7 linked regions of the Rattus norvegicus genome follow. The protein of the gene in region 2 interacts with the protein of the main gene of each other region in a biochemical or structural test. Links are inferred from orthologs where the notes say so. Each region holds a gene or a part of one and is shown on either strand. Other genes may lie near its edges.

Evidence for each region.
Region 1: the proteins of Snca (region 2) and Ensa form a complex in vitro, tested with the Homo sapiens proteins (2 studies listed by BioGRID, with this or other methods). The link is inferred for Rattus norvegicus from reciprocal best matches to the Homo sapiens genes SNCA and ENSA.
Region 3: the proteins of Snca (region 2) and Siah1 form a complex in vitro, tested with the Homo sapiens proteins (3 studies listed by BioGRID, with this or other methods). The link is inferred for Rattus norvegicus from reciprocal best matches to the Homo sapiens genes SNCA and SIAH1.
Region 4: of the proteins of Snca (region 2) and Fyn, one has a biochemical effect on the other in vitro, tested with the Homo sapiens proteins (3 studies listed by BioGRID). The link is inferred for Rattus norvegicus from reciprocal best matches to the Homo sapiens genes SNCA and FYN.
Region 5: the proteins of Snca (region 2) and Gba1 form a complex in vitro, tested with the Homo sapiens proteins (2 studies listed by BioGRID). The link is inferred for Rattus norvegicus from reciprocal best matches to the Homo sapiens genes SNCA and GBA1.
Region 6: the proteins of Snca (region 2) and Cryab form a complex in vitro, tested with the Homo sapiens proteins (4 studies listed by BioGRID, with this or other methods). The link is inferred for Rattus norvegicus from reciprocal best matches to the Homo sapiens genes SNCA and CRYAB.
Region 7: the proteins of Snca (region 2) and Sncaip form a complex in vitro, tested with the Homo sapiens proteins (3 studies listed by BioGRID and IntAct, with this or other methods). The link is inferred for Rattus norvegicus from reciprocal best matches to the Homo sapiens genes SNCA and SNCAIP.

What each region holds. Positions count from the first base shown.
Region 1 is NC_086020.1:185,873,034-185,877,342, forward strand, and holds the start of Ensa (alpha-endosulfine), read left to right. Parts: upstream 1-1,466; 5' UTR 1,467-1,606; coding exon 1,607-1,663; intron 1,664-3,269; coding exon 3,270-3,395; intron 3,396-4,309. UniProt on the Homo sapiens protein: Protein phosphatase inhibitor that specifically inhibits protein phosphatase 2A (PP2A) during mitosis.
Region 2 is NC_086022.1:91,123,460-91,127,691, reverse strand, and holds the start of Snca (alpha-synuclein), read left to right. Parts: upstream 1-1,376; 5' UTR 1,377-1,514; intron 1,515-2,631; 5' UTR 2,632-2,657; coding exon 2,658-2,778; intron 2,779-4,232. UniProt on the Homo sapiens protein: Neuronal protein that plays several roles in synaptic activity such as regulation of synaptic vesicle trafficking and subsequent neurotransmitter release.
Region 3 is NC_086037.1:36,572,614-36,576,187, forward strand, and holds the end of Siah1 (E3 ubiquitin-protein ligase SIAH1), read left to right. Parts: intron 1-1,248; 5' UTR 1,249-1,250; coding exon 1,251-2,099; 3' UTR 2,100-3,160; downstream 3,161-3,574. UniProt on the Homo sapiens protein: E3 ubiquitin-protein ligase that mediates ubiquitination and subsequent proteasomal degradation of target proteins.
Region 4 is NC_086038.1:44,321,375-44,325,472, reverse strand, and holds the start of Fyn (tyrosine-protein kinase Fyn), read right to left. Parts: upstream 2,810-4,098; 5' UTR 2,733-2,809; coding exon of another isoform or gene 2,700-2,732; intron 2,521-2,699; exon of another isoform or gene 1-2,520. UniProt on the Homo sapiens protein: Non-receptor tyrosine-protein kinase that plays a role in many biological processes including regulation of cell growth and survival, cell adhesion, integrin-mediated signaling, cytoskeletal remodeling, cell motility, immune response and axon guidance.
Region 5 is NC_086020.1:176,905,818-176,910,021, reverse strand, and holds the start of Gba1 (lysosomal acid glucosylceramidase precursor), read right to left. Parts: upstream 2,821-4,204; 5' UTR 2,692-2,820; intron 2,330-2,691; 5' UTR 2,315-2,329; coding exon 2,260-2,314; intron 1,885-2,259; coding exon 1,693-1,884; intron 1,605-1,692; coding exon 1,458-1,604; intron 1,369-1,457; exon of another isoform or gene 1,294-1,368; intron 408-1,293; coding exon 274-407; intron 64-273; coding exon 1-63. UniProt on the Homo sapiens protein: Glucosylceramidase that catalyzes, within the lysosomal compartment, the hydrolysis of glucosylceramides/GlcCers (such as beta-D-glucosyl-(1<->1')-N-acylsphing-4-enine) into free ceramides (such as N-acylsphing-4-enine) and glucose.
Region 6 is NC_086026.1:59,990,107-59,994,346, forward strand, and holds the start of Cryab (alpha-crystallin B chain), read left to right. Parts: upstream 1-1,424; 5' UTR 1,425-1,753; coding exon 1,754-1,954; intron 1,955-2,981; coding exon 2,982-3,104; intron 3,105-4,240. Other genes in the region: Hspb2 (heat shock protein beta-2), read right to left, coding at 1-183, 607-700. UniProt on the Homo sapiens protein: May contribute to the transparency and refractive index of the lens. Has chaperone-like activity, preventing aggregation of various proteins under a wide range of stress conditions.
Region 7 is NC_086036.1:48,530,932-48,534,505, reverse strand, and holds part of Sncaip (synphilin-1), read right to left. Parts: intron 2,432-3,574; coding exon 2,339-2,431; intron 1,849-2,338; coding exon 795-1,848; intron 1-794. UniProt on the Homo sapiens protein: Isoform 2 inhibits the ubiquitin ligase activity of SIAH1 and inhibits proteasomal degradation of target proteins. Isoform 2 inhibits autoubiquitination and proteasomal degradation of SIAH1, and thereby increases cellular levels of SIAH.

The sequences.
Region 1 (4,309 bases), on a different chromosome or scaffold from region 2:
TTTTCCTTTTGACCCTGTGTTGTGAATGGGTCTTTTAAATTTTCCTAGAGCTTTATAAACATTTCCATATCTATGGTTACCAGATACTGCCTTTTATAGTAATAATCTGTGTTCCAGTGTTCTCAGATTGTCCCATGAGAAGTGCACCTAATGCTATGAGAAATGATCAAGAAGTCCCCGATCCTGTCACAAGAAGTTACCAAAAATTGCTGTTGCCTGTGCCTTTAATGCTGGCACTTTGAGGCAGAGGCAGAGAGGCAGGTGGATCCCTAGGGGTTCAAAGCCAGCCCTTTCTACATAGTGAGTTATAGGCCAGCAAAGGACTATACAGGGAGACTCATTCTCAAAAAATGAAAATGTCATGGGCAGTGCTGTTATTAGACTTTGTTGTATTTTGTTTAATATGCCACAAGAGAGTAGTGGGTTGTTACTATGGAGATAGTGCCTGTAGCCATTATCCTTTATTCTTTTTCTGCTTTGCAACAGGGTCTAGCATTGAATTCTATGTAGGCAAAGACAGCCTTGAATTTGTGACCTTGCTGCCTATGCCTCTCAAGGTGTAGGTTGATGCCCAGCTGTTAGACTAATTATTCAGAATATAAATATGTAATACTCATTAACACTCTTAAGAAGACTTGAATCCCAGCAGTTGGAAGGCAGAGGCAGGCAGATCTCCATGATTTTGAGGCCAGCCTGGTCTACAAAGTAAGTTCCAGAACAGCCAGAACTGTTACACAGAAAAAAACAAAAAGGGGAGGGGGAGGAGGAGGAGATGACAACAATTTAATCTGAGAATTAAAAAGCTTTGAAAATCAGAGGGTGCCTTATGTATGTATTCCTATAAAAGTAATACAGTACTATCTACTTTGATAGATGCTCAAGAACTATCTCAACAACCACATGGTGGCTACAACAATCTGTACTGAGAGCTGATGCCCTCTTCTGGTGTGTCTGAAGACAGCTACCGTGTACTTATATAATAAATCTTAAAAAACAAACAAACAAACAAACAAACAAACTCAAGTCTCATACAAGCTAGCACTCAGTCCTGGAAAACCGCTGAATATCAGTTTGTCTTCCAATTTTTATTTCTGGTCTTGGGTAACTTCCTTCTAACACCGCTCAAGGATTGATCCTTTGCACCAGAGAAAAAAGGATTTTTATGTTAACCCAGCTCTGGTGCAACAACGTCCAGCAACTGGACCAGGACCTGACGAAGTAACTGAAAGCAGCTTCGGCCCGCCCAAGAAGCCAGAATACCAAAGTAGCTGTCCTGCCCCTAAGGTCCATGAAGGCTCTTAATTGGGTCTTAAGGCTCACTCTCTTTCCCGGTTGGTGTTCTAGCTTGCCTGTCGCTTGTGAAGAGTCCTTCCACCTCCAGTCAACGCTTATTGGTGTGTCGTTACGTCATTGTCCCGTCAAGCACACTCTCATTGGCTCCCATAGGAGGGGGCGGTCTCAACGTCACGGGCTTGAGCCGCCATTTTGACTGAGCAACCATAGTGACAGTAGCCGGAGCAGCAGCTCAGGTTGTCTCCGTTTCCCCTCCCCCTTCCCTTTTCCGGCTGACTTCCCGGGCCCTTCACTGCACAGTCCTGGTCCTGCCATGTCCCAGAAACAAGAAGAAGAAAACCCTGCGGAGGAAACCGGCGAGGAGAAGCAGGTGAGGAGAAGGGGGAACGGGGGCGGCCGCGCGGGCGGAATACGCCCCGGCCGCCGCTGATTGGCCGCCTCTGCCTCGGGCTCCACAGGGGTTGGCCACTACTAATGTCGCGCAGGCTACATTTCGGCGCGGCCTAGTGCCCTAATGTCGATTAGTCAAGCCGATTGTCAATCTGTGGGATCCCCAGTCTTATTGGCCAATAGACCTCTATTCAGTTCATGGAAGCTGTTCTATAATTGGCCGAGCTCTGGCGTGGGCGGGTGTTTGGAAAGATGAGGCGAATGAAAGGGGGCTGGCTGGTGGTCCTGAGCTGTAAATGAGATGTTTGATTAGTAGAGATAACCACCAGACCGGAGCTCATCCTTCATCCACAGCAAGATAAAGGTCAAGGTGAAGACATTTAAAATGAACCAGCATGGGGGCGGGGGAAGGATAATTATTACCGCGAGGTAGGTTCAGGTGGCAACTTCCTCAGACCTATTTGATAGGGATGATTTGTTGTTCACCGTCGGTGACTTATAGATCCCCTCGAATTTCTCTTCAGTGGGATGTAGTCCACTCACCATTGCATTATGAAAACACTAGTGCCAAACCCCTTCTTCAACATCATATTTGAGTTACTTAACACTGAGCTCAAGGACTCATTAAATACACTTTGTGTTCTCTCTGAACCTGTTTTTCAAATGAAAATACACTAGCCAGGAGATGGTGGCGCATGCCTTTAACGCCAGCACTCGGTCGACAGAGGCAGGTGGATCTCTTGAGTTCAAGACCAGCCTGGTCTACACAAAGAACCTGTCTCAGAAAATTTTTTAAAAACACCAAAACAAGAAAAACTAATGGCATGTTGATTTCTGTTTACCTCTTGCCTGCCTGCATTTATGAAAGTATATTACTCAGGTAGATATCTTTAGAATAGGCTACATGCCGAGCTAGAGTCCACAGCGAGACCAGATTGCTTCTTAGAGTGTGAATGAGGAGGGAGCCTCTCAGAAGATTAAGCTCCTCTTACCTGTACGACAGCCAGGAACTCTCCCAGGTCCTTTTTTTATCTTTCCTCCTAGCAATACTGAGTGAGTTATGGCTTGCTCTATGATTCAAGTATCATGTTTAGATACTACCTTTACCCTAATCCTCACAGGTCACTGGGGTGATTCCTTGGCTTAATATAAGAACTAGCTTGTTTTTCTTTACTTGATACAGTTATCTTGGGCAAATCTTTGAGCAAAGGTCTAACTTTTAAGAGTGGATGAGCAAAAAAGATGGCTCCGTGGTTAAGAGCACTCATTGCTCTTGCAAAACACCTGGATTCAGTTCCCAGCACATGGTAGCTCACAACCATTTACAATTCTGCTCTAGGAGACCTAATGCCCTCTTCTCAACCCAAGGGCACCAGGCATCCATGTGGTACACAGTCATACATGCCTGCAGAATACATGCACATAAAGTAAACCCTTCAATAATACACACACTAGACAGAACAGAGTGTAGATAGCATATTTACAAAGAGGTAGACCTCCAGGAAAATTTTGATAATATAAAGGTAGCCAGATATTAGAAGTCATTGGTTTTCAGCCATTAATTTCACTTGGCTTGTTTTCTTCAGGATACACAGGAGAAAGAAGGTATTCTTCCTGAGAAAGCTGAGGAAGCAAAGCTAAAGGCCAAATATCCAAGCCTAGGACAAAAGCCTGGAGGCTCCGACTTCCTCATGAAGAGACTCCAGAAAGGGGTATGGGACGCCCTTATACTGTGGCACCTTGGATGAAGTCTGTAGAGGTTCTACTGCATGTTTTTCTGTAGGTTTGGTTAATAGCAGTAGTAAAGATGAGCTAGAAACTTGAAAAGAGAAAAACATTATTGTGTTTTTCACATTATTGTGAATCTCTGCAATGATGTTACTACTTCCCTATACTATAGAAAATGAAGGCTTAATGTTGGGCATTTGGGTAGGTAGCAGATAGGGACTGAAGGGAGGATATTAGAGACAGAAGACCCAAAATTCTTAAACTGGCGCAGTAGGGTTCTTTAGACTATTAAAACTAGCATCACTCCCCAGCTCTGAAAAAAAAGAAAAGGGAAAAAAAAAAAAAAAAAAAAAACTAGCATCACACATTAGCTATACTCCTAGGAGGAAAGAAATTTGTTTTAGCTGGGTGTGCTGGCTCGTGTCTGTGACCTAAGCACCTAAGCTGAAGCAGAAAGATCACCACAAATCCAAGAGCAGCCTAAGTTTTAGAATAGCGTAGGCTAGGGCTAGAGAGGTGGATCAGCAGTTAAGAGAATTGGGCTGCTGTCTGCCAGAAAGGCAGTGTCTGGTTCCCAGCACCCACATCAGGCAGCTGGAACCTCAGCTCCAGGAGAACCTCTGGCCTCCATGGACACATACAGACATGATTTTTTTTTTTTTTTAATTGTAAAAGTACATGCTTTTAATACCAGCACTGGGGAAGCAGTGGCAGTTAGATCTCTGAGATTAAGGCCAGCCTGGTATACAGAGTAAGTTCCAGGACTTTTTGAGACACTTTCAAAAAAAAATAAATAAATAAAAAAGGTAACACAGAGACAATTCTTTTCCCTGTACAGAATGATAGAGGATATGACTCCATGGGAAAGCCCTTGTCTAGCCTGGGTTCAACCTAAGAC
Region 2 (4,232 bases):
CTTTCTTCCTCTAATTTCAAGTAAACATGGTATGTGCCACTACTGTGTAGAAAGGTTGATTTTTAAAAGGAACAGCAAGAATGGAAGGCAGTGCTTAAGCAATGAATTTCTGCCACATTATTTCTACTTTGCATTTGTGGTTTTATCTACCTCCTTCCCATACAGCATGTCAAAAACAATTGCTTGCCCCTTATTTCAAAATGCTTTTTAAGATTTCAACTTTTTATTTGTTTATTTATTTACTTTTCAGGATTCAGAAATCAACTGACTGCAAAGGTCAGAGAAAACATTTTCCCTTCTACTTTTTTTTTAAATACAGTAAAAGCTTGGTTTAGCTTACAGTGCCCAGTACAAGTCCAGAATACAAGAAAAGCAAGGCTGGGGGAGGAGCTTGGCACTCAAATCTACTCAGCTATCAAACAGCGATATTCTGCTCATCTCAGAAAGAAATGAAAATGTGTTAAGTAGCACAGAAATTGTCTCGAAGCCTGTGCATCCATCTGCCTGTCTGCTGGGCTTGGAAGAAAGGTCTGTTAGCTGGAACTCCATGCAGCCAGAAGTCGGAAAGGTAAGAGGTGTGCAAAGTCTGCCATTAAGTAGGAAGAAACTGCCTGCGATGGTCCCAGAGGGTGAATCCCACAGGAGCTACCTTCCAATCCTGTAACAGGGTTCTCAATAGTAAGCCACTTTTTCAAGTGCAAAAAAGCCTTTAGGCAGCTGGTTTTCGACGGTTGGGGTTTATTTATTCCTTGCTCCACAGATGGGGGAAAAAAAAATCAGCGTCTGGCAGCCGCTGATTGGTGGAAACGAAAATGGTGATAGTGGAGTGGGAAAGAGGATTTGCTGAGCCTCCCCCTGCCTCCTCGACCTGTAACTCTTCCTTAGTCGGCTCCCCTTCACACCCAGAAGAACCTTTTTAGACTCCTTCGGGGTTAAAACAAATGGAATTCTCAGGCTGTGTGAACAAAAGCAACCCGAAGGGTGTGTGCTCCCTCCCCTCGCCTGGCTCCGCACACAGATCATTTCAGGCGGTTCAGTCCTCTGGTGTCCGCTTCCCGGCTCGTCCGGAGGAGGGGGGTCGCCTAGAGGAACCGAGAACAGGCTGAGGCAGGGAAGAAGGGGATGAGATAGGAAAGAGGCCAGCTCAAGTTCAGCCACGATAAAACCGAAGGCCCCCTGAACTCGAGGTGAAACTCAGGCTACCCTCTCTTCCCTCCTCCTGGGGAGCGTGCTCCCGGTACCCACAGCCCTCACGCACCGCCATCCCGTCCCCTCCCTAGGAAAACGAGCGAAGGCACGAGGCAGGCGAGGGGCGGGGAGAGGAGCTGACAAATCAGCTGCGGGGGCGACGTGAAGGAGCCAGGGAGCCAGAGCGCCCGGCAGCAGACGGCAGGAGACCAGCAGGTGCTCCCCCTGCCCTTGCCCCTCAGCCCAGAGCCTTTCACCCCTCTTGCATTGAAATTAGATTGGGGAAAACAGGAGGAATCAGAGTTCTGCGGAAGCCTAGAGAGCCGGTAAGTACCTGTAGATGCAGTAGCTCTGGGGATCTTGGAGAGCCCTAGCTAACAACCTGGACGCCTAGAGGAGACAGACTATGGCTACCTTGGCCGTGGGGACAGAGTCAGTGACTGGAAAGTACATCACTCGGTTTTCCTTCCGTTGGAGACGTGCCCTGCCATCCTCTCAAAGCCCGAGGGAAAGGCCAGGTTGCCTGTGGCATCTGCTTTTTTCAAGCGGAAACGCTAGGGTGTTTCATGTTGGATGCTGGATGCTGGAAGCTGAGTGCTGGGCATTGGGTGGAATTTGAGCATCCAACTTTTATACTCCAGCCCCAGGGCATTTCATCTTCCTTCTATAGCGGAAGAAGGGTGCATTTGGCCAGTGATTAATAGAAGTGCAGAGGACAGTAGGCAACAGGTGATAAGGGGTTAATGAGCACAGGGTGCAGGGTCTTCTAGAGGATTCCAGCTGAGGACAGAGCTTCATGGTTGGGTGGTGCTCAAGTGATAATGCTCAAGTGCATGGACAGCCAGCGCCTGCTCTGGGCAGATAGCCAGCAACTAGCTAGTGGTGGGTGGAAGGTCTTGCTAGGTTAGAAAGACTGGGCTGAAGGCAGTTGGTCTCCAGTTCCCTACTTCTGGATTAAACAGTTCCCCTCCCTTCCTTCTCCAAAGATTGACGACTCCTCTCTACGTCTTTTTTCCCTCTTGCCCCTATTCCACCTCTGCTCCCTCACCCTTCAGTTCTTTTTCCAGATAGTCTTTTTACTTCGAATGTCTCCTTTGGGCCATGGGAACTTGATGGGGTAGAGGAAGTCCGTCTCCTCTTCAGTAACTCCTGAAATGTGTGAGAACAGCCAAGTGATCCATCTGGATCCATCACATTCTTAAGTGGCATGACTTTTTACTAGTGTTGAGTGAACTGCTCACAATCAATCAACACTGTGCCCAGTCCTCAAAAAAAAAAAAAAAATCTCACACCAGGATGAGGCAGGAGGGGTGGGAGGCATATACTTTTTTTTTTTTTTTGTGATTTCTTTCGCCTCAATTTCATTTCTTTCTCTAGCTGTTTTAAACCTTGCTTTCTTTTACCCCAAAATTTCTAATTCAAAATGTATTCTGTATTCTCTAGTGTGGAGCAAAGATACATCTTTAGCCATGGATGTGTTCATGAAAGGACTTTCAAAGGCCAAGGAGGGAGTTGTGGCTGCTGCTGAGAAAACCAAGCAGGGTGTGGCAGAGGCAGCTGGGAAGACAAAAGAGGGCGTCCTCTATGTAGGTAGGTAGTGACACTGTGACTAATGAATCAGGGTGACTGCTGTGTGCTGTCTGATTCGTGCGCATCACAGCTTCTCAGCTGACAGAGTGACAGCTATGGGGAGGTGAGAGAACGCGAACCGAACCTGCATATTAACTCTCAGAAACAAACAGGGACAGTGCTTTCTTTCCTTAGAATAATTAATTTTGTCATTTATGTAGGGTTTTTATTTGTTTTTCTACAATCTTGTGCATGATTACACTGAATTTTTAAAATTGTCAACCCATGAAAAACAACCAAGAATGTGCTTATGAATCAAAGACATTTATGGCAGCAAGCTTGGTGGCACATATCTGTGATGCCAGGGTTTGGGAAGTGCAGGCCCAAAGATCAGGAGTTGGTGATCATCTGTCAGCTACCAGTGTGTTTGATGTCAGTCTGGGCTATGTGAGACTCCAGAACAACAACAACAACAACAACAACAACAACAACAACAACAAAACCCAAACAACAAAAACAAACAAACAACTTAAAAAAAACAAGCTGCAAGTACTCTGGGACTTTGATTTCTTTCATCATCACTATAGTTAATATTAAGTTTAGCGAATTACAATGTTTAAAACAAGACTTTTGCATGATTTTGCATGTAGTGAAAATACAAATACTTTGGCCCCCAAAAGAAAAGGAAAGCAAGTCTGCCTCAGCATGTCTCCCTTTAGGGATCACTTCGTTGGTGTGGATGCAGGAGCTCAAGGAACCCCAAAAAGATTTGTGCAGTTCACCTGTCCGAGATCATGCATACGGGGAACAGTAAGAGGTTGATAGTGCCATTTTGCCTGACAGTATACCTTGAAAGAGAGGCCAACACTTCCTTTATCTTTTCTCTGTGTTAGATTGGCTCTAACTTTACAAATCCCTTCCAATACTAGGATGGGAGGAACAGACACACATGCATACACCCTCATGTGCAGCAGAGGCCCCGTGCACATGGGAGCACAGTTGCAGGGTTCATTGACCTCTCTTTCCTTTTTTGAGCACCTGTTTCCACCTTCTTAGGAGTACATCTACCTTGGTAGAAGACCTAGGATAAACATTCAGACTGAAAAGGTGCAGGACAGGTGACAAAAGTGACAGAGATGCTACCCAGAGTACCAATTGAGGGAAGTCATCCTGACCCTCCAGAAGATCAGTGTGGAATTGACATTTGCAGACATTTTCATGAATGTATCTTTCTCATTGGTGTTTCTAGCAGATCACCTTGTCCCATTCTTCATAGAATAATTTCACATTGAGTAAATTCTCTCTTTTTCTACTTAAAACAACCTTTCAGAAAGTCTGGAAATGAATATTGTAAGAGAAAGGTGTCATTGAGCTAATTTTAGAGTATTCTTTTAAAAATGAATCTGAAGAATAATGTTTTAGATAGAATTTAAAATATAAAAGCAGGAATTTGTAGATTTTGGGGACCCTCAATT
Region 3 (3,574 bases), on a different chromosome or scaffold from region 2:
TCTGTGGTTTTCTCCACTTCTTATATTCCTTCAGTCTTCAGATGAACGCACTGACTGATGGGAGACAGAAGTGATACCTGGCTGCCTTAATAAAAGACTGAGTAGACGTCTGCAGGCAGATAACAGGATGGCAGGGTTTCCTTCCCCTGTGACCTCTGAGCCCATTCCCAGAGCACAGTTCTAGTGATGATGCTGTTCATGCTGGGAAGAGTTGACCCGGCTCTAATGGTCTTTGGCATATGAACTTCATAGGACTAAAGCAGTAGGTCCTGAAGCTATGAGCAAACTCAGACTTGAGAAAAAATAGATGGAGGTGGAGACTCGGGAAAAAAGTCCAGCCCAAATAAAGTTTATATTGTAATTTAAGGTTTTCTTCTTTTAAAAAAGATTTGTTTTTATTTTATGTGAATGGGTGCTTTGCCTGCATGTCTATCTGCTCATAATATGTTTGAGTGCCCTGGCTGCCTCTAATGAGCAGCCATTTGGGTGGTGGGATTTGAACACTGGTCCTCCGGAAGACCAACCAGTGTTTTTAACTGCTAGGCCATCTCTCCAGTCTCCAGCCCTGTATTTAATTTATATTCCTCCTCTTCCCCTCCTCTTCCTCCTCTTCCTCCTCTTCCTCATCCTTTCCTCCTCCTCCTTCCTCCTTCCTTTTTTTTCTTCTTCCTTCTTTCCTTTTCTTCTGCCTCCTAAATGTTGGGAGTTAAAGGCTTGTGCCATCTTGCCCAGCTGTATTTAAGTTCTTAAGACAAAGACAGTTTTGTAGTTCTTTATTGTTTAGGAACTTTTTTGAAATTAGGTCTTCATATGTAGTCCTGCTTGGCCTGAAACTATGTATGCAGACCAGGCTGACCTCGAACTCCCTGATCCCCACCTGTATGTGTGTCTGCAGTGCAAGGGTTAAAGGTGTGGCCACAATGCCTGGTGCGATTCTTATTCTGTGTAGTCCACCCAGAGATTTCCACTGCTTTAAGAACAAAAAAGTATTTTAAACATGCTGGAGAACATTTTGGAAATACAGTTTACTCATTATATAACTCCAGAAAATTAACCTTTAGCGTTCAATTTTTATTTTATTTGTATATGGATTTAAAACTATATTTACTTAATTTTATTCTTTTATTCACGATAAATTTTGTGGTATGCTTTACAAGTATTTATGACATGTATACATACATATCTACTAATGTGTTATATTTGTAACTTTCCCCCTGCTTCCTTTTATTTTCTTGTTTTCCTTTACAGAGATGAGCCGTCAGACTGCTACAGCATTACCCACCGGCACCTCAAAGTGTCCACCATCCCAGAGGGTACCTGCCTTGACTGGCACAACTGCATCCAACAATGACTTGGCGAGTCTTTTCGAGTGTCCTGTCTGCTTTGACTATGTATTGCCACCTATTCTTCAGTGTCAGAGTGGCCATCTTGTTTGTAGCAACTGTCGCCCCAAACTTACATGTTGTCCCACCTGCCGGGGCCCGTTGGGATCCATTCGCAACTTGGCTATGGAGAAAGTGGCCAACTCCGTACTCTTCCCTTGTAAATATGCCTCTTCTGGATGTGAGATAACTCTGCCGCACACCGAAAAGGCAGAGCACGAGGAGCTCTGTGAGTTCAGGCCTTACTCCTGCCCCTGCCCTGGTGCTTCCTGTAAGTGGCAAGGCTCCTTGGATGCTGTCATGCCCCACCTGATGCATCAGCACAAGTCCATTACCACCCTGCAAGGAGAAGATATAGTTTTCCTTGCTACAGACATTAACCTTCCTGGTGCTGTTGACTGGGTGATGATGCAGTCTTGTTTTGGCTTTCATTTCATGTTAGTCTTGGAGAAACAAGAAAAATACGATGGCCATCAGCAGTTCTTTGCGATTGTACAGCTGATAGGAACACGCAAGCAAGCTGAAAATTTTGCATATCGACTTGAGCTGAATGGTCATAGGCGGCGATTGACTTGGGAAGCCACCCCTCGGTCTATTCATGAGGGAATTGCAACAGCCATCATGAATAGTGACTGCCTAGTGTTTGACACCAGCATTGCACAGCTCTTTGCAGAAAATGGCAATTTAGGCATCAATGTAACTATTTCCATGTGTTGAAACGGCAATCAAATATTTCTGGCCAGTGTTTAAAATTTGCATTTGACTTCACAGAGAATAAGGCACCCATCTGCTTGCCAACCTAAACCTCTCCTGGTAGGTAGAAGCTAGACATGAAGGTAAATAAAAAGAAAAGCTGTTAATACAGGAAACAGTTGCATGTAGTAACACTAATATATTTAAAAATAATTCAACAGTAAACCACTGAAAAATATATATACCCAAGATGGGCATCTTTTGTATTAAGAAAGGAAACATTGTAAAATATTTCTGAACTTTGTGTTTGTTGTAGATTGATTGTATTGTTGACAATTTTTTGGGGGTGTGTGTCTGTGCACGCATGCGTGCACGTGTGTGGTTGGTTTTCCTTTAACTGACAAGCCATCTGCGTGGTCATGGGCCACCGCTTTCCCCTTGTGAGTCAACACACAGTGCTGCTGTGGGGTTGTTTTTTGTTTTGTTTTTTGTTTTGTTTTTTGGTGTGTGTGTATTTGCTAATTTTTATTCTAGTTTTTCATTAAATAAATTTGACTTTCTTTTCTGTAATTCAGGTTTTTCTCACTTTTGTACCTTTTAAGTTAGCGTCTTTTTGATATCCATAATTGCTTAATGTCAGAAGTTTGTGTTCAGTACATACTTTCTTTTCCTTCAATCAATTTATTAGACATTTTTAATTCAGCCCTTCTGTGGAAATAGGAATTCCAGAAAGGAAAGGGAGCAGAGCAGCTCGTCGAGGCTGAAGCAAGTACAGGATGGTCTCGCCTCCCGACTGCTGTCCTACGCCGTCAGGTCAGGCTTACTCTCTGAAAGGTTAGCTTAGGGAGTAAACTCTGATCACTATAAATTATAAAATAATCAGGCTTTTCCTCTCTTCAAATGTCTTGGGCAAATCACATGTTTAAATTGGTTCTTGTATTTATTGGTTTTGCAAAAGAGTGCATCATCATACACAGTATTTGTAATTAAAGTAAATCATTTGTTTTTAAAAAAAGGCAGTTTGCAAAAAAATGTTTTTGGTCTTTTATAATTCTCATTAAAAGATTATCTGGCAAATTAAAAAACATTTTAATGTGTTTACTTTAGCTCTAGGTTTTTGTTTTTGTTTTTTGTTTCCCTGGAGCTGAGGACTGAATGTAGGGCCTAGCACTTGGCAGATGCTCTACCCTGAGCTACACCCTCACCCTGTGGCCCTAAGATGGATAAACTCCAAAGGTAGTTTCCTGTTCCGGTCTGTATTTTAGAGCAGAGGATTGTATGCCACTGTTTGAAGTATGTTTTATTTTAAATCACAGAAAAGACTGGACAGCTCTCCCTCCCACTTTCATTCCATTAGGACATTGGGAATATGACTAATTAATGCTGATTATTCTTTTCCTTTGTGAAAAAAGGTGAGTTATTTTATCCTTTCCTAGCTCCAGTGGTGTGGTACTGACTCTGCAGTCTGATTTTCAAGTTTCTAGGCACCAGTTTACCTC
Region 4 (4,098 bases), on a different chromosome or scaffold from region 2:
TGAGCAGAAACACACGTATGTGGTGCTATCACAGGGGCACAGACGAATCTCTTGTGTTTTTGTACCATGATACATTCTCAGGCCTACTATAGCTACTAACATGAGTCTTCTTAAAAGACGCTGGGTACGTACGTACGTATGTATCGTTGATCTGATTCATATTTGTCGCTCATTAAATGAAGCCACCAAGTAATACCAACCAGAGTAAAACCCAATGAAAATGAGACAAGCCAGATTAGGTTCTCGACCCAGTGGCAGAAATGGACAATAAACAAAAACAGACTCTGACGATGGTGTTGGGAGACAAATTTGGAGACATGGTGGCTTGGCTGGAGCAGAGAAGCCGGTGAAGGTTTCAGAATAGAGACAACATTTGTGCTGGGCCTGGGCTTCAGAACATCAGAAGAGGTGGGGACTCCAGACCGTCAGAAAATAGAGGGCATTTGCTCACACTCATTTAACCTTATTAATAAGTGCCTCTGACTTGGTCAGTACAGTGTGAGTTTATTGTGTATTGACTTTCCTTTCTGGGTTTGGCATCCCAACAAACCAGCCTTTGTTTCCAGAGAGCATTCATTATTAACCCTTCTGCTGTATGTATGGTGTGTGTGTGTGTGTGTGTGTGTGTGTGTGTGTGTGTATGTGTGTATATGTGTGTACATGTATGTATGTGTGTATATGTGTATCTGTGTGTGTATATATATGTGTGTATATGTGTATATGTGTGTATATGTGTGTACATGTATGTATGTGTATATATGTGTATCTGTGTATGTATATGTGTGTGCATGTATGTATGTGTATGTATGTATATGTGTGTACATGTATGTATGTATGTTCCACAATGGATGTCAGCTTAATTCATCACAACTCTTTTCAGATAAAACAGCTAAAAAGTAAACTTGGGACAGTTCCGTTACTTTGAACACTTGAGGCCCCACAACATGATCCAGGAATCAGCAGACTACACCAAAGTTTCTGACACACTATGTCTGAGATTTACATGAATATCTCTACCTTAAGAGGAACATCATGGGTTCTGAATCCAGTCATCTACACCCCCGGCTCATAGTCAGCTAGCCCCAAAGCTTGAGAGTTGAAACCACTTCCTCCCAAGTCTGAGGGCATGGTACTCGTGGGGCAGGGGCAGGGGCAGGGAGACTGAGCACAAAGGGTGAAAACTACTGTAAGCTGCTTTGGTGCTGAGAGGATGTGGGCATCCAAAGTCACCCTTGAACCAGACAAGTGGTGCCTCCAGGGTCTTCCGAACGCCAGCCCAAGTGCGTTCATGCCACAGCCCCGGTCACTTAAATAAAAGAGCATAGCTGGACACCACAGCACATTTCAAAAGACTTCATTCAGCAAAGCGGCCTTGGACTTTAGAGAATCCAGTCAGGCTGCCTCACTCTTGGTGAACTGATTCTGACTCAGACACAAAATTCTTCTGATCCCCCCACCCATTGATTTATCCTGTCTCAGGTATCAGTACCTATCCCCCAAGAAGAAAGGGGAGGAAAACGAGGGATGGAAGGAGGGTTCCTTGAAAGTATAGCAACTCCTAAAACAGCTGAAATAATTCCTCCCTTAAATAGGGGAAACTGCAGTTGCCACTCAATGCCACCACCCTGGGAATACAGCAAAATAAGTGCACCTGCCACCCGGGATCGGGAGCCTTCGTTTTTTGGTGAGTGTGGCAGAAAGGACTAGAGATCAACTGCTTCATCAGAAAGAAAGGGAAGCCCCAGGGATGAGACAAGAAGCATGGTGGTGCCTTGGGGACTTTATGTGTCTCTTTTCTATGAACTGAAAGGGCTCTTTGTGTCACACACACACACACACACACACACACACACACACACAGAGAGAGAGAGAGAGAGAGAGAGAGAGAGAGAGAGAGAGAGAGAGTCTGATTTATTAGAGGAAGGAGGGGCAAAATGGGTGATTTTATTATCCCTCCTCCCAGTGAGTCCCAGCCAATGCCTCCTGGGCCCAAGCTTGGTGGCCTCTTTCTAGCCCAGTCCCTGTGGCCTCAGAGATAAGAGAGCCTAGAGGAGACCAAACAAAACCATCTACCGACCTAGGGAAGTAGGGAGGAAATCCAGCGAGTCCAGAAGGGAGGAGGAATAAGCTTGAAAGCCGAAGGGGTGGGGGACAGAGGAAGAAAAGGCAAGGCCAGACACAGGGGAAAGGGGAAGGGTGGGTGGGTGGCAGCACAGGAAGGGTGAAGGGGAGGGTGGGGGAAGTGCAAGGGAGGTTCCAGAAATAGGCAGAAGGATGCGCTGGGGAAGGCAAGGGCCGCCGAGGGAGGAGGCCGGGAGGTGGAGGAGTGGGGCAGGGGTTGGGTGGGGAGGAAAGCAGCACCGGGCATCAATTATTAAGTGATTACATCATCCCTGACATTAAAACAACACACACAGCCCGGGTCCCCGCGGGGGGCTGCGAAAGGAGGGCGGAGGCGGAGCTGGGCCAACCTCGCCCCCAAGCCAATTCTTATTTTTTTCACCCGGCGCCTGCCGGCGGCCGAGGAATGGCACCCCGGTGCCCGCGCAGCCTCCGGGCGGCACCCCGCATCAGTGTCCTGCGTCGCGGGGCGCCCTGGAGGCTGCGCGGCGGGACCGCAGCGGGGGCAGCCCGTGCGGGGGCGCTGGGCCGGGCGTCTCCGCAGCATCCCGAGGCTCCGCGCATCCCCGGTCGCTTACCTGCGTGGCGTGGCGCTCGGTTCCGGAGCACATTCACATGGTCCTCTCCCCGCCCTCCTCCGGCGAGGCCCTGGCGGCTCCGGTGGCTCCGCGGCCGGGCCCAGGAGCTCGTGGGCCTCGCGAAGCGCCGAGGGGGCGGCGCCGGTGTCCCCGGCCCGGCAGCCCAGTCCCTCCCTGGCGCGGGCGGCGGCTTTGTGTGCGCCCGGGGAGTCCTCGGAGCGCTCCGGCTAGAGGCGGCCTCGCTGCGCTCTTGATCAGCGGGCGGGTCTCGGAGGCTCGGCGCACAGCGACCCCTCCTCCTCTCCGCGGAGCCCCCTCCCCGCCGGCTGCGCTCCTGACAGATGGCGCAACTGCACCGACGCGCCGCCGCCGCGGCTTCTCGCAGCTACTCTCGCTGATGCTCGGGCTGCTCCGGATCCCGAGGGGTTCGAGAGGGGGCGGGACACGCCCCGAGACTGTCAGTTCCTTCTGCCCTATCAAAGGGTCCGCTGAGGGCTGAGCGCAGTCAGCCATTGGTGCGCGCGTCGGAGGCGGGACGGCCATGGGTGGGGCCGCCGAGTGGGTTGAGCGTTACTGTGGTGGCGGGCAGCCTGGCGTGCGCAGGGCCACAGGGTGTGCGAGAGGATGCGAGGTTGAGGAGGAGAAGGAGGAGGTGTGTGTCTGAGGATCCTGTGGAGTTGCGAGTTGGTGGGGTGGACAGGAGAGAGCGCAGGGAACGAGCTGCTTTCCTACTTTGCTAGTGGAGACTGGCACCTGCCACTCGAGCCTCACAGCCATGGGAACCTATTTCTCCAAAGAAATAGGAGTGGGAGGATAAAGTGGAAAGGTGTTAAGAAGGGCGATGGCAAATTGGAGAAGTGAGGAGCAAAGTAGAGAAGTACCAGTGCAGAAACTGGGAAAGCTCGAACCAACAAATGCGCAACGAATAATAAGAAGAAGAAATTCATAATTTGCTAGTCTCATTTTCTTGAGCACCCAAATATGTTCATGTTCACACACACACATCAGGAAACGTGAGAGGAAGTATGACTAAAATTCAAGGGGCCTGCAACAAAGAACCTCCAAACCACACAGTAGAGATGCTTGGGCGCTTTCCTAGCTCTTTAGAGTAGCCATTGCCTGTCTGGCTTCTCGATGCATTCAAACTTCTCTTGGTTTTCTTGTTTTCATTGGTGGCTGGGCTGAGCTTTTTACTCAGATTTTCCTTGATGAAATAATAACTGGGTTGGTATGCAGTCGGTCTTTATTTCCGATTCAGCTTTTCTATGGCAGGATGTAACTTCATAAAAAGAAACACTTCGCCTTCCTGATTTTCTTTATAGGTAATTCCTGTTTCCTGAAAGCTCTGTTTTAAGACACGTTCAGAATCATTTTCTTTAATGATTTTGGTAAGAAACTC
Region 5 (4,204 bases), on a different chromosome or scaffold from region 2:
GGGACTGGCAAAGAGTGAAATGGGGCGTGGGGACATCTTCAGGGCTCGGTGAATCAGGGGTATCTGGAGACAAACAGTCAAGAGAGAGACACCCAGAGCTGGAACACATACTAGTTCAACCAGTGTATCAGGTCCAACCATCAGCCCCCACCCTCTTACCCCCAAGTCAGATAGGCTGTAGAAGGTTCCACATTGCTCTAGACAGCTCTAACCTGGACCTTCCCAGCCCCAAGACAGCAATACCAACAGGGCTGAAGCAACTGGAATGCCCACCTTGAGCTTGGTGTCTTCCTCCGGGAGGCTGAAGTTGGATAACTGGAAGTCATTAGGGGTGTCAGCATAGGTGTAGATGCGGATGGAGAAGTCACAACTGGCCATGGGTACCCGGATGATGTTATACTCAATGCCTGCAGGAAAGGATGGCCCAGATAGGGAGGTCTGAATCAATAGGAGAGTATGAAGCGAGCGTGGTGGCACCACGCCTGGAATCCCATCCCTCCAGAGGCTGAGGCAGCCGGATCAATGTGAGCAAGCCAACCGGGGCTACAAGGCAAGGCCCTGTCTCATAATAAATAAAATAAAATAAAATAAGGCGAGTATGAAAACTGGCTTGAATCAGTTGTCCTCCACAGAGTCTCATTCAGAGCCAGGGTCTAGGTGTGGAATTGTGGAGAATCAGTGGCACTGAGTCAGGTACACTTGGTGGCATCTGCTTGTAATCCCAGCCCTTAGAAAACTAAGAGTCCAAGGCTAGTCATGGCTACACAGTATTCGAGGGAAGCCTGATCTACAGAAAGTAAGGGAGGAAGGGGACAAAGAGAAAGAGGGGAAAACAGAGGCAGGCTGGGGATGTAGTTCAGGGGGCTGAATGCTTGCCAGGGGTGCATGAAGCCTGAGTCTGCGCTCCAACACTGTATAAAACAGGGGAACTCCAGCATTCGGGAAACGTGACGCCGGAGGGTCAGAAGTTCAAAGTCTGATATCACTGACTGCAGTAGATTTGAGTCTTGAATACATGAGACTCACTCAAAGAGGGACTGAGAGGAGAGGGGAGAAGAAAAGGAAGGGAGGCAAATGTCAGGGGGAAATATGGAAGCGAGAGCAAAAAGCCTGGCAAGACAGCTCAGTGGGTAGGGTAAGAGTTTTTCCTGCCAAGCCTGCAAGACCTGAATCATGATCCAAATGGTGGAAGGAGACAGAGGACACCTGCAAATTGTCCTCTGACCTCCTCACTCATGCACAGCACATACAACAGATAATAAAATGTAATTTAAAAAAAAAAAAAACTGAGGGGTTGGGGATTTAGCTCAGTGGTAGAGCGCTTGCCTAACAAGCACAAGGCCCTGGGTTCGATCCCCAGCTCCGAAAAAAAGAAAAAAAAAAAAAAACTGAAATAAAGCCAGGCTATAAAGAAGGGCATACATTACAGTGTGCCATCCTGCTCCGCCCTTTCTCACCTTCGCTAGAGAAGTAGGACTTGAGTAGCAGTTTCTGAGCCGGGGGGGACAAGGCAAGGATGTTGAGCGCAGTGGCATCTGTCATGGCACCTCCAAATCCTTTCACTTTCTGGAACTTCTCTTCTGGCTGCAAGGTTAGTAGGAGCCCTGGAAGAAGAAGGGGGAAATCAGTCCAGATCACTATCACTACTGTGACTTTGGGGTCCAGGTTTGGAGGGGCAGATAAAGGGGCTACCTGTGCCAGTGCGGTTGGCCTGGATGGACCCGGTACTCAGCTCCATCCGACGTCCGCTTCGAGTACTCTCATAACGGCTGAAGGTACCCAGAGCCGGTAAGGTCAGGGGGTCAAGAGAGTCACAGTACGTTGCATTGCAGACACAGACCACTGAGCTGTAGCCAAAACTTTTGGGGATGCAGGGTTGGGCACCTAGAAAGCAGGGCACAAGCACAGGCAAGCATCAAAGTAGGTTTATGGGGGACTGAGCATGCTAGTTAAGGAGTCTGAACAACAATTAAAAAAAAAAAAAATAAGGGGACGGGGATTTAGCTCAGTGGTAGAGCGCTTGCCTAGCAAGCACAAGGCCCTGGGTTTGGTCCCCAGCTCCGAAAAAATAAAAATAAAAAAATAAAAATAAATAAAAATAAATAAATCCTTCCCCTGTACTCCTTGTGCCCAAAGATGTCTCAGGCACTCTAAGGGCCTTACAGAGTCCCTACTGAAAGTCCACCATCATAGTGAAAGGCCCCAGAGGACTATGGGGAAGGAAACACCGTCATGCCTCCATCCCCATCCTCGACTCACCATATGCCCAAGATATGGCCTGAAATAGGAAGAGTCCTATGAACCTGGCAGCCATGACACCAGGACGCTTCTGAGAAGGAAATGAGGAAATGAATGTAAGACTCTCTATCCTGCGACCACTCTCCTGGCCAGAGTTTAGCCGCCTGTGGATGTTTACAGCATGGGCTCCCACCTTTATTAGTGACCAGACAATGTCCTTAGACACTGGAGGGGTCTTGCTTTTACTCGGTTGCCCACTCCAAAGAGGGCTCTCTTCACTCTTTCCCCCACATCCATTTCAGCCTTCAGTCCTCCCTCCACCCGTGCTTTACTCCAAGAGCATGATGCCCTGAATTAAAAAAATAAAATCTGAACTCACTGAATTCCCTAATCTGGATGGGCAGAATTCCAGAAGCAAGACTGACCAGGCAAATTGTAGCCCTGCTTCCTTACCTCTGGAAGATCTTGAGAACTTGAGCTCCTCAGGATCAGTGGATAAGAAGATTGTAGCAGTTTCAGAGTCTTGGAGAGTTAGAAGATCTACCAAATAAAACAAGTATATTGACAGATACCATATCTATTGGAGCCGGACTAGCACAGCAATTCCGGCTTAAAGGGGAGGACAGAGTCACGTGATGACTAAACCAGTCACGTGATGCTGGAAGTGAGGCAATCGAAGCCATATTTGTGATGGGCAGCTGGATCCGTCCAGGCTGTTCATTCATTGTATACCCTGTGAGGTTTTGGGAGGCTTAAAGGATGACAGCTTTAGGAAGAGAATTCTAACAAGGATTTTATGAACAGCTGAGTAGAGGCTCCTAAATCCAAGACAGAGAGGATTTCTAGCCTCTAAGGGACACTGTATTCACATGCACATACCGTCACACAGATATAATTTAAAAATAAAAACAAAATTTAAAAGACCCCACATACAGCCTGGCAGTGGTGGCACATGCCTTTAAATTTGGCACTTGGGAGGAGGAGGCAGGGGGATCCCTTCGAGTTCAAGGCCAGCCTGGTCTACAGAGCAATTTCCAGGACAACCAGGGTTATTACACAGATAAACCCTATCATGAAAAACGACAAACCCTCACATATACACAATCTTTGCTCTAAAGAGACTAGTGAGACACATGAGTCAGATACTTACAGAGTTACAGATGAAGACAGACAGAAATGTTGACAGGTGCACTCACAGGACTCCTTGAGAGGAAAAAGGACCCTTCTCAGACAGCTGGTGGCAGCAGTTCCAATGAACTGCAGGGAGCTGCTGTCTGTCTCGCTCTGGATAGCAGGCCTGAGGGAGGAGTAGTCAGTCCTCACTGGCCCTTTCTACATTCCTTTGTGTCATCATCGGATGCTGGCTAGAAAGCTACTCATCTTTCCTGACAAGAAACTGGAGGGTTGGGAATTTAGCTCAGTGGTAGAGCACTTGCCTAGCAAGCACAGGTCCCTGGGTTCGTTCCTCAGCTTCCGGAGGGGGGAAAAAAAAGAAACTGGAAAATGCTGTCTATCTTTGGTGGACACAAAAAGAGAGCTGTCCTTGAGGTTTCTTTGTAAATCACATCAAATAAGATTTATTAGCAGTGACACATACCATATGATCTGACTAATTCCAGGTTTCTAAGCCTGTTTCCACACTTGCCCAACACAGACACTAGCACAACCTCACAGAGGCATTACTAGAGTTAGCAAGATAAGCCAAGTGAAGCATGTAATTAGAATCAGGAGCGTTATGCTTGTTGAATGAGGCTTTTATAATCACGACACTGAAGTCTTTATCACATAACCTTCAAAAAGTTGATTACTGCTCTGGCAGTATTGAAGCATAGTTTCTACGAGATGCATTGATTTGAATCCTGGCAACTCACAACGGTGTACTGTTTGTTTATCATGTTAAGACTCAGTAAATCAATTCCTCTAAGCCTGCTCCTTATCCATGAGGAGGGATCAAGCCGCCTCCTAG
Region 6 (4,240 bases), on a different chromosome or scaffold from region 2:
CAGTCCTCACGGTCACCTCATCTGGGGTAAAGTGGCTCACATCCAGAAATGCCTGGAACTTGCCTTCACTGAGCCTGAGCTCTGAGGCCCCTGCCCTGCCGCCCTCCCCAGCTCTGGCGGCCCGGGGCCGAACATAGTAGCCATGGTAGAGGGTGGGGGTCAGGATCTCTTCTGGCAGGAGGCCTGGGAGCAGAGAAAGAAAGAGAAGGCAAGAGGCAGGATGAGGAAGAATGCAGCGGGCACAGACAGGGCTGAAAGGCGATATCTGGAGATATGGGCTAGAAGAGCAGGTGGGAAACTGTAGAGGGGCTGGGAAAGGAGAGGAGATGGTTACGGAAAAAGCGAGCTGGAACTGGAGGACAGAAGCAAAACCAGAAAATACTCTGAAGCGTGCAAGGCCCGGACACCGAAAGCCCTGCCGATCTAAAGTTTGGTCCTGAAGTCTGTTAGCAAGACCAGAGAGAGTCTTGCTTGAGGGGGGAGTCTGGGGTGGGAGATGGCTCACCTCAGGAGTTCACTTAAGCCCCAGGTAGAGTGGAGGCCAGTGAAGCTGGGCAGTGAGCCCAGAATTTCCGGAGGTGGGGGTAGGAAGCATCTGAGCCATACCTTCTCCGAAGCGCTGCTCGCCCAGGCGGCTAGGGTTGGCAAATTCGTACTCGGCAGTGGCTGGGTGGGCGTGTGGCACTGTGCGGCCCGACATGACTGCTGTTGCGACTAGTAGCCCTGATCCCAAGTGTAGCCCCAACAAGATCAAGGCGACCCCTCCAGCTTCAGAGGGAGAGCCAGGACTCAGTCAGAGTGGGGGCGGGGTCTACACCACCCAAAATAGTGCAGAGCGTCTGGGGGATGGGGGAGGGGTGGGAGCCTAAGTCTAGAGTGCAGCTATGAGGGTGTGATCAGCGCAGCCTGGACCCCCTAAGTCCCCTCCTCTGTATACCCTTCAGCTGTCGCATAGGCCTGGAAGAACAGCTGAGGGTCCTGGTCCTAGAGTAAGCTGGGAAGAGAAACTGGTGCGCTGCAGGAGGGCAAGGAGAGGCCTGGTTGGGCCCTTCACCAATTGTACATTCCACATCACCCTTTGTCCTTATCAGTCTCAGGCACTGAGCACATTACTTAGAAAAAAAAAAAAAAAAAGACAATGTTCTATGAGCCACAGAACGTCAAAAATACAAGAAACATTTTCTGTCTTTTTAATGTCAGGGTCTTCTGAACCTAGATCAACTCGGGGTTCCAGTCAGACACCTAGTTCTGACATATTGGTGGTCACAGCTCTCCTCTGGGACTCCACAAAGAGTTAATGTCCCTGGGGCTCAGCCCAGGAAGATTCCAGCCTCTGCCCAGGCCCAAGATAGTTGCTGGCTCAATTCCCCTGGCATGCAAGACTGGAGAGGAGGAGGGGCCCACCAGCAGCTGCTTGGGATTCCAGACCCTGTCCTGGCTCCAGAGAACAAGGATGGGGTGGGTGGGTGCCACTAGGTGTGGACAGAGAGCTAGTGAAACAAGACCGTGACAAGTCACCGGCCAGCTCAGCCCTGCCCCGTGTTTCTCTTTTCTTAGCTCAGTGAGTACTGGGTATGTGTCACCCTGCCAAATCCCTGATCACAAGTCCCCATGAACTGTCGGGGAGCTGGGATAATAAAACCCCTGACATCACCGTTCCAGAAGCTTCACAAGACTGCATATATAAGGGGCAGGCTGTAGCAGCGGCTGAAGGAGTTGACCGGCTAACCGACTCTACACTCATCTAGCCATCATGGACATAGCCATCCACCACCCCTGGATCCGGCGTCCCTTCTTTCCTTTCCACTCCCCAAGCCGCCTCTTTGACCAGTTCTTCGGAGAGCACCTGTTGGAGTCTGACCTCTTCTCTACAGCCACTTCCCTGAGCCCCTTCTACCTTCGGCCACCCTCCTTCCTGCGGGCACCTAGCTGGATTGACACTGGGCTCTCAGAGGTAAGTCTCCCTTGTGCCAGGGCAGGAATACGTATCCTTCCTGGTCTCTCCATTCCTTTGCCCTTTCACCCTGCCTAAGTCATTTTAGGCATGTGCGTGTGCAAAGGTACAGAGAAATGAGGTTACTGTTTTCTTCTTCCTGTGGGCACCTGTTTCTGTTTGATGCTCCTGTTTCCTGGTCCATTTTTCTGTGCATGGTGCCTCTTTCTCCTCTTTCAACTCCTTTACCCACCTCTTTAATAGTCCCAGTCCTGGCAGATTTTATCATCTCAAACTGTAGAGATCAGATAGAAACCCACTCATTCTGGGCTTTTCCTGTCTTCTTTCCTCCCCACTTCCTTTTGATGGAGCTGGATACATCAATCAATATTCTCTCTCTCTCTCTCTCTCTCTCTCTCTCTCTCTCTCTCTCTCTCTTCCTTGGCCTATGACTTTCCGGGTTCCTCGGGGCTGAGACAGTGCATTGACTTCAGTCCATGCCTTAAGAGGACCGCTCTTGGGAAGCCCTGACTTCTTATCTCAGCAGCGTGGGAGATAAGATTAACAGAGGTTGTCACAGATAACACTGTGGTTTAAAAATATTCGCGTGTGAGGAAACAGGAGCTGAGTGAGCAAGGGCTTTGGAAGGACAGAACATTCCAGATCGAGTGGGTTGGAAACTTGGCAGGCAACTGAACAAGAAAAAGGGGGCTTTTGTTTTATAGACAAATGACAAAGCCAGCACTGGGTAGAGAGGCAGCAGATGCCATCCCCAGACCCATTCTTGTGACTAGTCTCCTACTGACCCGTCTTCTTCCCTGTGCCTCTCGGTAAAGTTTGGGACTGATGGATGACTAAGAGGTGTCTTTTGGGTATCACCATGGTGGCTCACATATACCAGTGTCACTAGTCATAAGAGGATTTTTCCCCCAGCAGCCAGGTAGAGGATGGATTACCAGGGCAGGAAGTAAATCTCCTGGACGATGAGCCTTCTCCAGCTTAATGGACATTCTACCATCTTTTCTCCTCCGCCCCCTTGTTATTCTAGATGCGTATGGAGAAGGACAGGTTCTCTGTGAACCTGGACGTGAAGCACTTCTCTCCAGAGGAACTCAAAGTCAAGGTTCTGGGAGACGTGATTGAGGTGCACGGCAAGCACGAAGAGCGCCAGGTGTGTGGACCTTTCTGCCTTCTCTTGTGAATTCATTTAGTGCCCTGCTGGATGCCAGGGACTGCCGCCACCAGCCTCTGAGGCTGGCAGAATTCCAGTCCCCAAACATAAGACTAGATCAGGAGTTATAGATCAATGGCTGGGAAACAAGTTAGGGCTAGATCTGCTGTTAGTGTTGTGGCTGTGCTGAGAGAACTTTCCCCTGGATGTTCCTTTTGATTGCCTTGTCTTGTCCAGTGACGTCAGAATAGCAGAAGAATTCTCAACATTCCCAACCCTCAGCACATCCTAGGCCAATTGAATCTGAAGTTTTAGGGACATAGCTCAGGCATCAACCTTTAAACAAACAAACAAACAAACTCACTCCTTGGGTACTTTCTGTACCCCAAACTGGCAGCCATTGCTCTAGGCACAGTGTGCTGTACATAATGGCTCTGCGAAATGACAGTCACCACGGAGTCGAAGGCAATAAAATCTGTGGCTTTTGAATGTTCAGGATTCCATGCCTCTTCTGCTCAGTTTAATGCTATGCTACTTGGTTTGTCTGCTTTTCAGAGCTTCAGGCTTATGGCTGTGAGGAAGTTAATTGAGATTTGTTTGTGTGGATGCTTGGGGTACTTGGGATTCAATAGGTAACAGGATTAGCATCCACAATTCCTCTTGCATTTTTAGCATTTTTTTTTCTTGACTTCCTAAAAAGGTGTTATGATTGCTTCTTAAAAATTAATGACTTGGGGGGCTGGGGATTTAGCTCAGTGGTAGAGCGCTTACCTAGGAAGCGCAAGGTCCTGGGTTCGGTCCCCAGCTCCGAAAAAAAAGAACCAAAAAAAAAAAAATTAATGACTTGGGGTTGGGGATTTAGCTCAGCGGTAGAGCGTTTGCCTAGCAAGCGCAAGGCCCTGGGTTCAGTCCCCAGCTCCGAAAAAAAGAAAAGAAAAAAAAATTAATGACTTAGGGCCTGGAGAGATGGCTCAGCAGTTAAAAGCACTGACCGCTCTTCCAGAGGTCCTGCATACAATTCCCAGCAACCACATGGTGGCTCACAACCATCTGTAATGGGATCCAATGCCCTCTTCTGGCATGCAGGTGTACATGCAGATAGAGTGCTCATACATAAAATTAAAAAAATCTTAACA
Region 7 (3,574 bases), on a different chromosome or scaffold from region 2:
GACTGTTGTACTAGGAATCCCAACAAGGAGTAGAAGATGAGCTTCCGACGCTCTACTGGGTGGTTTAGTAAATGGGAGAGTGAATGATCCAAGGCATTCCTTCCACAGAGAGATTTGCACTTTGGCTGCTACACTGTTTTTGATGGCATGTCAAGCGCAGAGCATGCAGAAATCGCTGCCTAAAACGATGTTCCTATCTCTTATTCTTAGAGGCGGGTTTCCAAGAAGTGCCGCTATAAATGACTTCACAATGCATTCTGCCTTCTCCTGTCCACTGGCAAGCCCTTCAGTCTCTCCAGTATCTAGTCAACACTTAGAGATGTGTGTGCTAACAGGCTATGTGGCAGTCCCTGGGGGATATTCATTTCAAAGGTTATTTGAGTTAGGTCGTTTAGAAGAAATGGGGTTTCTGTTTATATGCTTTTAAAGTGGGCTTTTGTACCCAGTCCACAAGGAGAACAGACTCTTCCCGAGACAGAATCAGTGCCAATGGCGGACTGATTTAATGCTGACGGGTGGTTTCATCTTGTATAAATGCCTCTTGGCTTACAACTTGTAATGCCCAAAGCACAAGAAACTGGGGTCAGACCTAATCTGCGATTTCTTTACTCACTTCTCTCTGTATTCTCCAAAGGAAGTGCAGGGGCATTCATCTTAAACTGGCATGTGTCATTAAAATATATATGAATTTTTGAATCTTGGGGTGACCTTCCTCCAAGATGGCACAGTCAGTAACAATAACACAATCAATTAAAAGTAATACAAGCATAAATACATCTCCAAACAGCACTCACTGCCTTATTCTTTCCTTTGCTAGCAGGGCTCACAGGGTTTCCCTTGGCATCTGCTGTCTTCCTTCCAAGTGACGTCAAGGGTAGTGTGCAGGTCTTCAGCTGGCTGGCTGGCTGGTAGTTATTATTGTTGTTCTGATTACCACTTAAACTCTCCATGATGGATCGGAAGGTTCCAAAAGGCCTTTTCATTTGTTCTCCTGACTCACTAGTCCTCTGGGGGGCCCTGCCCCTCTCTTTGTCTTTTTCTCCATTTAGTTCAAGGCTAGTTTGCTCCATTTGCACAACAGGCTCCTCAAAGGTCACTCTCAGTTTTGAGTTTTGGGATGTCCGGCGCTTGGATGATGGAGACTTGAGGGCACTCTTGGGGCTTGTAGCAACTTTCTGGGCAGTGGCACTGTCAGGACTGCACTGAGTGGCTTCTGTAGAAGGTTGGGTTGGAGGAGTCATTCCCAGGCTCGGGCAATGGGAGTCCAAATCTGGTTCACTGCTCTCTGAAGTGGGAGATGGGCTGTGCCCATCCAGGGATTTGGAGGCCTTCATACCAAAAGGAAACCTGCGTCCTGATGCCACAGAGTGTTTCTTTATCATCAGGTGTAAGCTTTCTGCACTGTCCATATTCTCCACACTTTCCACAATGGGCTGTGGTCTAGGTCTGTCCACTCTTTTCACAGGAGTATTTTTGGGGTCCTCAGAGTTGTTTGAATCCGTGTCAGATTCACTCAAAGATCTCTGCATCAGCTGCCGCAGTCTAGCTAGCTTCAGTTCCCTCTTCTCTAGAGGTATTTTTTTCGAATTCCTAGAGGATACCTGAGCATCCTGGAATTCCAATGACAGCTTTTCCTGGGTGCAGACATTCTCTGATATTTCTTTCCCCAATAACTGACGTAGGATTTTATCAGAGTCTTCGTCTTTTCCTTTGGTCCTAGCCCTGCTGGATAAGTTTCCAAGGACTTGTATTCCCTCCTGGGTTCCCAGTTTGCTTTTGCCTGTAGACTCGTCATCTGCATCTAGAATTTTCCACTGGGACTTTCTAGAAGCTGGTGAGGAGGGTGAACTGGAAGGAAGATAAAGAAAATATAAGATGGTTTCTTACTGCACTAGATGCATCCATAAGACCTTGCACGACCTTTCATACAATTATTGATTTATGGAAAACAAGATTAGATTACATAATGTTTTCTTCTGAACAATTAACAAAGACTCCAATCTATCAGCTGTAGCCAGAGCATGACAGAATTGGTCTGTTTTATTTTCTACGAACCACGTTTGTATGAATTTCATTACTTCAATCTAATCACCCTATACATCCTTGTTCTCATTTCACAGGTCAATACAAGTGGCACAAAGAAACAGAAACTCTGGGCTGGAAACTGCCTCAGGTCCTATGATCCCAGACACAGACATTTCATTGTGATATCTTTTATGTTTGTAGGAATAAAGTATTTTCTTGAAAAGTGTTAAATGGAATAAACAGAATGCTAGAAGAACATTTAAAGATTTCATCACATACCCAACAATTCAAATAGCAATATGACTGGGGTTACCTGGGTGAAGATGGGAGGGACTTGCCCTCTGATTTCTGGGCTTCCAGAAGTTGTTGGAGTTGACTCTGCAGTGTGACGCGCTCCACTGTCTGCCTGTAGGAGACAACCAAGGAACACAGTGTGTGAGGCATGGCCGCTGGCAGACTAGAGGGAGAAGACTCTTCATGAAAACTCAGCAAATGGCATCCACTCAGAAGCCTTAAAAACGTTTAGTCTTCATCCTCATGGTTCAGTTTCCCAAGGAAGCAATCGAGTGTTGAAAAGGATGGTTATTGTTCACATTCGTGACAAACCATGAAGAAATTAATAGCTCATCAATACGAGTGAAGGAATTTCAATCATTTCTGCAATGGCAACTATTAAAGCACTGTTATTTGAATACTTATGGGCATATAAAAACTTGGCTAATAATTGTGTGTATATTATACTTTACTAGTCTTAAATGAAAAAGGAATACTATAAATACTATGTGTAATACATTCTAATGTGCGTGCGTGTGTGTGTGTGTGCGTGTGTGCATGTGTGTGTGTGTTCGTGTGTGTGTGTGTGTGTGTGTGTGTGTGTTCGTGTGCGTGTTTGTGTATATGTGTATGAATGTGCATATGGAGACCAGGACTTGCTGTTGCCATGTTTTACTCAATCACTCTTCATCTGAGTTTTTGAGACAGGTTTCTCACTGAACTGGGGCTCATGGTTCAGCTAGAGTGGCTGGCTAGCAGGCCTTAGGGCACCTCCTTGTCTCTGTCAATAATACCAGGATGATGGGTGCAAGCAGCTATGTCAGCTACTATTCTAAGAAAAGTTTCTCTCCCTTCCATCACCAGAACAAAGATTCAGAAGGATTTCAACATGTTGCTAATGATTTCTGAACTATTGTAGTTCTTTGTTTCTGAGGCACTGTCTCTCTGTGTAGCCCTAGATAGCTCACTATGTAGACCAGGCTGACCTACTGAGTTCTGCCTGTCTGCCTCCTTCTCGCTGGGATTAAAGGCAGGCACTTTGCTTAGAAATTTGAAAAGTGTTTGCAACAGTTTACTAATCATAAAATATAATTAAACACGACACAAAATAACTACTTTTACTTTGGGTAACAGAGTTTTGTACTCTCTTATGAAAAGGAAAATTTATGTGCAGTAAGAGTCCATTTCCTCTGGACATAAGAGTATGTGTAACAGAATGTGCTTGGAAGTTAAGAAAATAGGGTGAAAGTCACAGCTATAGGAAGAAAAATATATA